Regions from separate parts of the Mus musculus genome. Here all the other regions are reported to be linked to region 1. The links are microRNA targets in miRTarBase. Many come from high-throughput screens and were not tested one by one. Region 1 holds a microRNA gene; each other region holds the end of a gene's coding sequence.

Region 1 (3,259 bases):
TGCAATGCCCATTATTTTACTGATTATTCTAAAGCACCATACCTGTCAATCCATTGAGGAGGAGGGAACAGCAAGGGAAACATGATGAATCTACACGACATAAATTAATTAATAGGCAGATTTCCTGAGAGACGGTGCAGATTAAAAAAAAAATACAAATAGGTTCAAAAAGTATGCTTCAGGAAGATCAATGAATATATATTGATAGAGATCAAAAGACTTGAGCTGTGGGCATTACCAAGTTAACATTAATTTCTAGAGATCTATTTTCCCGTTGTCCAGAAGCATTTCTCATGATGCCAGAAACTTATACGTTCATCTTTATGTAGAGTTATTGTATGCCTCTTAAAACGAAACACAGTATGTATACACCAATCATAGCAAATCTGTATCTCCGAGGCCCAGTTCAGCCTGCCTTATGCCCATCCATTGAGCTAGGATCTCCTGGCTCTGTCCTAATATTTCACTCATCTGTTTCCTGCACTGGGTCCACAATTGATATCCTCCTCAAGTTTAAAGGGGCTTAGAGCCTTGTGGGAGGAGCCTCTAACGATTTCCATTTCCTGTGGTCCCTCAGCCTTGGAGCACTCCCCTTTACTCTTGAGCTCTGTCTTCGGAGCAAGTGGTGAAAATTGAAAAGCGTGCCCCCCTCCCGCCCCCTCCGCCGCACTCCCCCCCTCCCGCTCCCCTCCCCAGCTCCAAGTCGGGGGCATTGTTGGGGGCTGGGAATACTGCTTGCTTTGCAGCCTGACTCCTTCCTTCGGGTCTTTTGCTACCCCTCCCCCACCTCCACTCTGCAGAGTGAAGGCAGAATGTTTGTGCCCTAGAAACCAAATCTTTACAATCCTCATCTCAGCACTTGCCTTCATTTCCTCTGTTCACTTACGGCCCCAACTGCTTTCATAGATTTGTTGTTTACAACTTTGAGAGATAAGTAAGGCAGACAAAGTTTCGAGAGACCTGAGGATTCTGAAGATGAAACCTGGGAAACTGCATCATGCAGACTTCATGCTGTGCCAGGTAACATTCCTGCCTGGCCATCAGAAGCTTACACCATAGTGATTAGGACAGAAAATGGAGCTGAACTAGTGTGTTTGGTTAGAAAAGGTCTAGTTGAAACTGTCTAGTCCTAAGAAGGACGAGTGAGAGTCTAACTGCTGGACACTTCCTAACTGAGGCTCAAGATTGACTTCATGATTAAGTAATGACTGTAAGTCACCTACCCATGCATGATTCAATGTGTACAAGCTTAAAAATTGTAAAGTGAATTCACTTTAAAGCTTTGATCCTTTCTATAGACTCAAGTAAATTAAGGGAGCAAATATGAACTAACCATAGAGATTAATTTAGTGGCATCCTCAAAAGAACGTTTTTAGTCATTGTGAATAATCATAAAAACTACCTAGAAACTTAGAAACATTCTTAAGATAACAAGCTTTTAAAAATCAAGGCCACAGAATTACACTAACTCTGGTGGCTGAAAGTAGAGTAGAAACTGGAAAGAAACTGCAAAACAAAGAGACTTTTTAAAAACAGAATTTGTAGTAGGTTGGTTAGCTGCTTATTTGTTTTGTTTTTTTTTCCCCATCTTCACAGTTTTGCTGTTTCTTTGTTTTGTTGTGCTTTGATTTGTGTCCCATTGTGAAATGCTACTCGCTAAAAGGTCTTTAAGGGTACTGGGAGATCCAGAAATTTGAGGTTACACATGCAGGGATCTCAGACGTCTCGGGGATCATCATGTCACGAGATACCACTGTGCCCTTGTGACAGATTGATAACTGAAAGGTCTGGGAGCCACTCCTCTTCCTAAGAATTGGTGGGGTGAGTATTACAGAGATGAGAGGTCAGGAGAGGACTGAGCCCTAGGCAAGGAGGAAAGGGGTTGCCATGGAGTGGGGGAGGGTATGGGTTGTGTTTTTATAGAATGAGAAGGGTTTTATTAATTTGCATTTCTATTCAGTCCACTGAAGCCTAGACAGGACATATGGTTTTATATATAGGCTAAAATATTAAAACTATGTTTTTCCTCAAACAAGAAAAACATTAGCTGTAAGCTTTAGAAAAACAGGTTACCTTAAAAATGTGGAGTCATATAAATAGCCATGAAGATAAATATACAAGCCACGGAAAGTCACGGAAAATGAAAAAACATCAGGATGTTTATTACTATTTATTTATTTATTTATTTATTTTTGAGGCAAGATCTTATGTTACCCAGACTCAAACTTGTGTAGCAGAGGCTCATGTTGAATTCCTTCCCCTCCTAATTCCCCCTCCCAAGGGCTGGCATTATAAGTGTATGCCATCATACCTGCTTGCAATTCTTTTTTTTTTTTTTTTTTTTGAGACTAGGCCTCACTAACTTGCTCATGCTGGCTTTAAATCACTCTCTAGGCCTGCCAGGAGGAATCTGCATCTGTGGCTCATTTGCCTCACCATCTATGTCACTGGGGTTACCACCTCCCTTCACTTCAGTCATTTTGAGGATAAAATGACTTATTAATAGTAAAGGGTTGCATAAATAAAATATGCTCTTCTAAGACAATGTGATAGGATGCTATCATTAAGATTGATATTTCTGAAAATAATTTTTGTGACATAAAGATGTGCCACAAACACTAATAAAAAGCGTTTAATGATAAACATGCAAAATATTTTCTTCTCCGTTTTAATTTTACATACATGGGATCAATATACAGATATAAGGCTAAGAGAACAGATCAAAATATTATAGTTATCCTGAGTTGTGCTTTAATGTTATTGAACAAATATGCTGGGGACTGATGCTGTGGTTGAATGATAGAGGAAGGAGAAAGGCAAACCAAGATGCTGAACTATTTTTGCGATGTGTTCCTAATATGTACTATGAGTATATTGGGGATGCTTTGCATTCATGGTTCTGCATCCATCATATGGACAGTCACCTCCAAGCTGTAGCACCACCAGTGACCAAAGAGAGATACTGAGCTGTTTTTGCGATGTGTTCCTAATATGTGCTATAATTATATTGGGAACATTTTGCATAAATAGCTTTGTGTCAATACACAGGCAAAAGGTTGGAAGAAAGAAGCTGCAAGTCTAACCATAGTTGTTTATGGTTTGTTTTTATAATAGGAATCAGATACAGAATTATTTTTGCAGTATGTTCCTGAATACATAACATAAGCGTATTGGGAACATTTTGCATGCATAATTTTGTATCAATATATGGGGGGAAGACTAGGAAGAAACATGACAAAACTTGAACAGAACTTATGTC
Region 2 (3,259 bases), not on the chromosome of region 1:
TTTTTGTGCTTCCTGAGAAGTATTGGGTAGACTGCCAGAACAGCTCGACTTCTTGCTACTCTCCAATGTCCCAAGAGGAGCAGGGACTAGCAGGAAAGCTTAGAAGGAAAAAAAAACCAGGCTCTTGGTCCTGGTACCTTAGTGGACAAGTTTATCGCATTTAATCATTAGAACACACCTGTTAATAATGATCATCACTATCCTGAAGAAAAAGATTTGAGTAGCTTTTCCAGAACGTAGGCGGCAGAGACAGGACAGGGAAATAGTTTGGGCTACAGGAAAAAACTGACTTGCCCAATTTAGCTGTGAGCAAATGGTGATTTGGGCTTTGTTTTTCTTGCACATTATAAGATTTAGGTAAATCAGGAAAACTCCACAATTTGAACATGACATCAAAGTATTTGTGTAGCCGGGCGTGGTGGCGCACGCCTTTAATACCAGCACTTGGGAGGCAGAGGCAGGCGGATTTCTGAGTTCGAGGCCAGCCTGGTCCGCAAAGTGAGTTCCAGGACAGCCAGGGCTACACAGAGAAACCCTGTCTCGAAAAACCAAAACAAACAAACAAACAAACAAAAAACAAAAACAAAAAACAACCAAAGTATTTGTGTGTCCTTTTCTTCCCACTGACCCATAGCATCTGTATCCCATTTTCAATGATTTACTATTACCTAATACACTGCTATGGGAGTATCTCCTTTGCTACTCAGACTAAAATTTGTAATAAAGCTGAGATGAATTTCTTTTTTGCTACCTCCTCCAAAATGATTTGTAGAAGTGTAATTATTGAATTCTCCTTTGCGAAGAGGTACTTATTAACCTATCTTCTGCACCAAACTTTACCTGGAGTATCCTTGTTACCCACAGCACTGGTGATTAGCAATGCGCTTTTAAACCACTAGCTTCCATCTATAGGCCCAAAATAAAACAAAATCTAGTTTATACTGAATTATAACTAAAATTGTCTGCTTTTCTGTATTGGTCAACTGTACCATCTATAAGAGTCTCATTATTTGCTTCTCTTTTTTATGATAAATACATTTATTAAATTTGTGTGTGTATATGGGGTGGTCATGTGTGGAGAATAGAGGGCAACTTAAAAGATTCAGTTTTCTCCTCCCACTGCATGGGTCTAGGAAGTAGAATCCAAAGCTGTGATTCTCAAAATGTGGGTCTTGAGCCCTTTGGGGGGGGGGGGGTGTCAAATAGCCCTATCACAGGAGTAGAATAGCAGACATCCTACATAACAGATATTTGATTCATAACAGTAGTAAAATTACAACTATAAAGATATTTGTTTATTTGCCTGTTTATTTGTTGAGTGCTAGGGTTATCACACCCTAGCAAGCCAAGCGCTATCACACCCTGACACACCTGTTTTTTCTGAGACAAGGTGTCATTCTGTACACCAGGATGGCATGAAACTCATTGCATAGCCCAAGCTGGTCTTGAACTTGTCAGTCATCTTCCTGCCTCAGCCTCCCATGTGCTGGGATTATAGAAAGTCATTGAGTTTGTCATCAGAAAGATTTTTTTCTTACTTTTAGAAAACAAAACATAATATTTTATTTACTAGGCACAGTAATAGAAACCTGTAATTACAACATGTGAGAGGCAGGAGGATCATGATAACTTCGAGTCCAGCCTGGTTTACATAAGTCTAGGCTAGCCAGTGATCATGTCTCAAAAAAGGAACAAGTAAACCTGTCTGTTTAAGTTAGAGCAGTAACACATTTATCTTCTGGAAGTGTACTGGAGCACAGAACCTTAGGATGGGAAGGCGTGTGTGCACCACTGTGGGCCACTGCAGCCTTCCTCCTCCTATACACGGGAGGTTAGTGACTCCCTCCAGGGAAAACGGAGTAGGCCCAGGATCGTTGAACTATTTTAATCTTATCCCTGTCTAGTTTACGTAAGAATGAGACCCAGCTATGGTTATTTTATTTGACTATGACAGTTACTGGCAGTCACCCCTAATCTACTTTTCTAACTGCTAGCCTCACTACCTCCCCAGTGGTGTATCCCAGACACTTGCCGCTTCTCCTGGCCTTGTGCTCATGGTCCATCTTCCCTCACAGTGGCTTCCTCCTCCCTCTGTCTCCTTTCTTTCTCCTTTGTTGCAACTTCCAACCATGTAACTCAAAACCCACCTATCTCTAATCCTTCCAGTAATTAGCTGTTCCATTTTATTTAACCAATAGTTTTAAATTAAGGAGCAAGGTTTGTACAACAAAGGTTGATAAATGTGAGAACTCACTCCTGGTACAAAATTTAACATTACAATATGTAGCAACAGACCAAACCTCCTCCAAGAGTAAACAATGAAAGTCCAGGTCATGAAGCACATGAAGCCCCCAGGAAAGTCTCACTATGTAAAAAAGGAGATTGTATGTCTAGGACTACAAAGATATTGCATTTGAGAACAGAGGTGCCCAGCAGTGGTTTAAAAACCACTTTAATCCCAGCACTCAGGAGGCAGAGGCAGGCAGTTTCTGAGTCCAAGGCCAGCCTACTCTACAGAGGAAGTTCCAGGACAGTCAGGGCTATACAGAGAAACCCTGTCTTGAAAACAAACAAACAAACAAACAAACAAAAAACAAAGAGAGAGAGAGAGAGAACAGAGGCTTTATTTACAATAATATTCAAACAGGATTTGCAAAGAATACCTCTCCCCTCATATCTTAGCAGCATGAACTATATACAATTTATAAGCAAGAGGAGTATCCTGGAGGATAGGACATGAATTCTCTCCCCCAAAATTAGTTCCAAAGTTCCCAGCTCTGAGTATTAAGTGTAGCTGGGGTGTGTGTGTGTGTGTGTGTGTGTGTGTGTGTGTATGTGTGTGTGTGTATGTGTATATGTGTGTGTGTGTGTGTGTGTGTGTGTGTGTGTGTGTGTGTGTGACAGGAATCGTAGAAGGTAGATGCCAAACACCAGCATCTCACTGGGATCCACAATCAGGAAATACTTCAGCACTGGCCAGGAAAACATCAGGATTTCACCTCACTCATGGCTTCCATGAGGCGAGCACTGTTTGTAACAGCAGTTGTCAGAAAAATAAATCTGTACCCTAAGAGTCAAGAGAAGTAGCAGAAGTGACTAAATAGACCTCAGGTCCCAACAGGCCAAGCCCACCACTCCCACAGCGCCTCAGTGCCCCAGGATCAGAATGCAGGGCTACAGGCACAGATACATCTGGGCATAGACACATCTGGACCTGCCTGTCCCCAACAAGTGAGGAGAAAAATAGAAAATAAAACTA
Region 3 (3,259 bases), not on the chromosome of region 1:
TCAGCCTTTTTACCACATTGTGGTTGCTCACAAGTGTTACAGGAATGGCCACTTCTGGAGCAATTGGGCTCCGATGATCCACTGCCCAAAAGTAACGGAGAAAACTTTGTTGCCCTCAACCTGGACCAGATCCGGCTTTGGATTGGCTGTGGGGCTCACTTCTCTAAGCCTACAGAGAAACTTCTGGGTCTTTCTGCCTCTCCTCTCCTCCACCCTCCACCACAATCAGATGATGATCACCAACTTGGAGACTGCAGAGGAGGAGAGCAGGAGAAATCCTCTTGGTGTCTCAGAAAGCAGAATCAGAGCCCAGAGAGACAAGCAAGCCGACTTTAGCAAGCACAGCTGTGTTGCCTCAAGGTCAAGGACCTGTAAAACTTGTGCAGAGTTTTGTATTGGGTTTGAGGATCAATAAACAGAGTTTCCCAAGTCAAAAAAAAAAAAAAAAAAAAAAAAAAAAAAAAAAAGCAATTCTGCCAATCCTGCATCAGCACCTCCTAAAGAGTGGACAGGGCTGGAGTGTGGCTCAGCTGGTGGGTGCTTGCCTAGAAGAACGAAGGACCTCAGTACTCTGGGTCAGTCCAGCCTGCTATTCTAGTCCTCTGGATGTGGAGGCACGAGGATCAGTTCAAGGGAATTCTCAGCTTCGCAATTAGAGCTACTACTTGCTACATAGTCCGTTTGAGGCCAAAATAGGTCTATCTAAAAACAAAAAACTATTCTTCATTAGTGTCTACATCCTAAGCATTCATATCTAATATATACTAAGGTGGAATTATGCATAATATCTTAGTTAGAAAAGGAAGAAAATATTCAATTACAATATAAAAACACAGGAAATAAGCTGCAAAATATTTTTATTGTAAAAACAGTCAACTGAGGTCGACAATGCAAATGTTATCTCAGGACATTTCCCCTTGGTTTCTGAACTTCCAAGTTCCCATCAGCATTTCTCTGGTTTTTATGGTCCTTTCAAACATGCTTACTGACTGCATGTATATGCTGCTCTGAGACAAACACAAATCCATCCATCTGATAGTAAAACCAAACAAAACAAAAAGCAGGAACAAAGCCCCTAGCCTGGTTCTATTGTGCTTTTTTTCACATTTCCTACAGGGAGACCTATGTAGCTCACACACTTTCAAAACTGAGCAGCAAAGTAAAATTAGTACTGTAACCACAAAGCCAAATACCAATGACTTTCATTCACAAGTTACTGACTCAAACCCTAGGACATCTGCAGAATTATGCAGGTTTTAAAGTTTGAAAAAGGGAAACTGGGTTTGAAAAGAACTCTGAAAAAAAAAAAAAAACAAACCAAAACAAAACAACAACAAAACAAAACAGACCTTTCAGCTTGGTTTCCCACATTTGAAAACCTAGTTACTTAAGCATGCCAGGGGCCAGAATGTGCCTGGCACGTCCAGTGCTATGCAGTAAGCAGGCCTACAGCCTAATGGCTGCCTCCAAACATAAAGAGAATAACTACCAGTTCTCAAAGCAATCTCGGACAATGGTCACAATTTAGAAATATCAACTGCTACTCTATTTCCATATATTGCAAAATGATTTCAGAAACAGATTAAACATACAATTGTTTTACAAAAATAAAAATTGTTTGGGGCTTCATGAACTCTGTAAAATACAATACCACGTTGTAAATCAAGATAATTTCACAAAAAAAATTGACTTGCAGACAGGAAACCTAGTCAAACTCCGATCTCTTCCAGATCTCTAAGACTCCATGTTCTCCTGGGAGGATTTTCTTAAGACTTTTCATTTTTGTCAGGTGGTAGTGGTGCCTGGGGAGGCAAAGGCAGAGGCAGATGGATTTTTGAGAATTCAAGGCCAGCCTGGTCAACAAATCGAGTTCCAGGATAAGCAAAGCTACACAGAGGAACCCTGTTGGAAAATATAAGGGTTTCCTCAGATTTTTCCTTTTAGAAATAATGTAAAGCAAATAAAGTTATTTGTAAAAATATATCAGGAAAGTAGAAGCTAGTGGGATATGCCACTTCTATACTAGTGATGAGTTTCAAATCGAATCCCGAACAGTGGCAACGGGCTAAACATATGTGACCATTATAATTTGGTGCATAAAAGATGTAAAAATATAATCACAACTATTTTATGAAAAATATTCATATAAGATTGGAGAAACCTCTAAATTTAGTTCCTCATAGCTGTCAAATAAATATGCTTACCTATATCCATCAAACACTCATTCTCCACCTGTAAGAGCACCAGTGTGTCTAAATCAATCAAACAAGAAAGAAGGTAGGGCTTACGTTTATTTCAGTGACAGTGACACTGCTGCCACAGTAAGGCACCACTTGGTATTGAGAAAAGAGAATAAAGGATTTCCAAACCATGCTCTGTCACTGGTGTCGTAACCTTGACATCGACTGCTTGGGGAAAAGCCAGATACCAAGCACATCATACTCTTGTTCCCATCATTCTGTGCTTTTAGATTTTCCACATCAGGGGGAAATAAATGTAATACAAGATCTGTTAAATAAACATTCTTTCCAACTTACAAGGAAATAATCTAGAAATAAGGACAGTAGAAAGCCAAGACCCTATCGGATGTATCTGCAAGTTTGTCCCTGTGAGAGAGTGCAGAGGGGAGCAGAAAGCATGGGGCTGCTTTCCATAGGATACAGAGAGGCACAGAGGTTAAGACTTCTCAGGCAGTCATGGCTAAAGCAAACTGAGAGCGCCCCCAAAGCTGACTCTCAGGCAGTCAATTAAATACTTCACAGCATATCCTTAGTCACTGCTATCATCATCGTCGTCGTCATCAGATGCATCATTTAAAGGAGACTTCAACGACTGACTATAAGAGTCTGATCTAGTCGGCTGACACGCGGCCATGTCCCCCGTGGAAAGCAGGTCATAGCAGAAGTCACAAATCCGCACAGGCTTAGAAGACTGGCTGGGAAGAAGAAATCGCTTTTCAGAGCAGGGACCACAAACAACAAAGCCACATTTGCGGCAATGGTGCCGCCGATTGACTGGTGTGAATTTTGCTTTCTGACAGCGCATACACACGGTGGCCTCAGAGTCAGGAACCCAGACAGCAGCATGCTCGTTGCTGGGCGTCTTCCCACTTTTGGAGAGTAAATCAGTGACACACTTATTTATGTGATTCATCCACTCTGACTTCTCCGTGGCAGTGGCAGCATAAACTGCAAACGACTTAGTCGGTGTCTTAATAAGCCATCCATTCCGTAATTCCCCTTCATCTTTGATGGAATCA

What was found. The annotated mature microRNA mmu-miR-542-3p reads UGUGACAGAUUGAUAACUGAAA and lies in region 1 at 1,763-1,784, shown strand. An mRNA with a match to its seed (bases 2 to 7 or 8) in the 3' UTR can be bound and repressed. Matches are read on the target gene's strand: a 7mer-m8 pairs with bases 2 to 8, a 7mer-A1 pairs with bases 2 to 7 and ends in A, and an 8mer does both.
Region 2: the mRNA of Vps33b is a reported target of mmu-miR-542-3p. Seed matches in the 3' UTR shown: 8mer at 2,897-2,904.
Region 3: the mRNA of Plekhf2 is a reported target of mmu-miR-542-3p. Seed matches in the 3' UTR shown: 7mer-m8 at 2,299-2,305.

The regions. Positions count from the first base shown.
Region 1 is chrX:53,047,940-53,051,198 of GRCm38, reverse strand. Mir542 (microRNA 542) reads left to right here and starts at 1,712; the gene lies at 1,712-1,796. It overlaps Mir450-1 (microRNA 450-1), which reads left to right and starts at 2,955; the gene lies at 2,955-3,045. It overlaps Mir450-2 (microRNA 450-2), which reads left to right and starts at 2,832; the gene lies at 2,832-2,900. It overlaps Mir450b (microRNA 450b), which reads left to right and starts at 3,121; the gene lies at 3,121-3,202.
Region 2 is chr7:80,290,923-80,294,181 of GRCm38, reverse strand. It overlaps Vps33b (vacuolar protein sorting 33B), which reads right to left. Exons shown (of 23, transcript NM_178070.4): 23 at 2,603-3,067. The coding sequence ends at 2,988. Among named protein-coding and RNA genes, the nearest start is that of Prc1, 1.9 kb to the left of the region's middle.
Region 3 is chr4:10,987,822-10,991,080 of GRCm38, forward strand. Plekhf2 (pleckstrin homology domain containing, family F (with FYVE domain) member 2) reads right to left here. Exons shown (of 2, transcript NM_175175.4): 2 at 841-3,259. The coding sequence ends at 2,770. It also overlaps the pseudogene Gm2401. Among named protein-coding and RNA genes, the nearest start is that of Plekhf2, 18 kb to the right of the region's middle.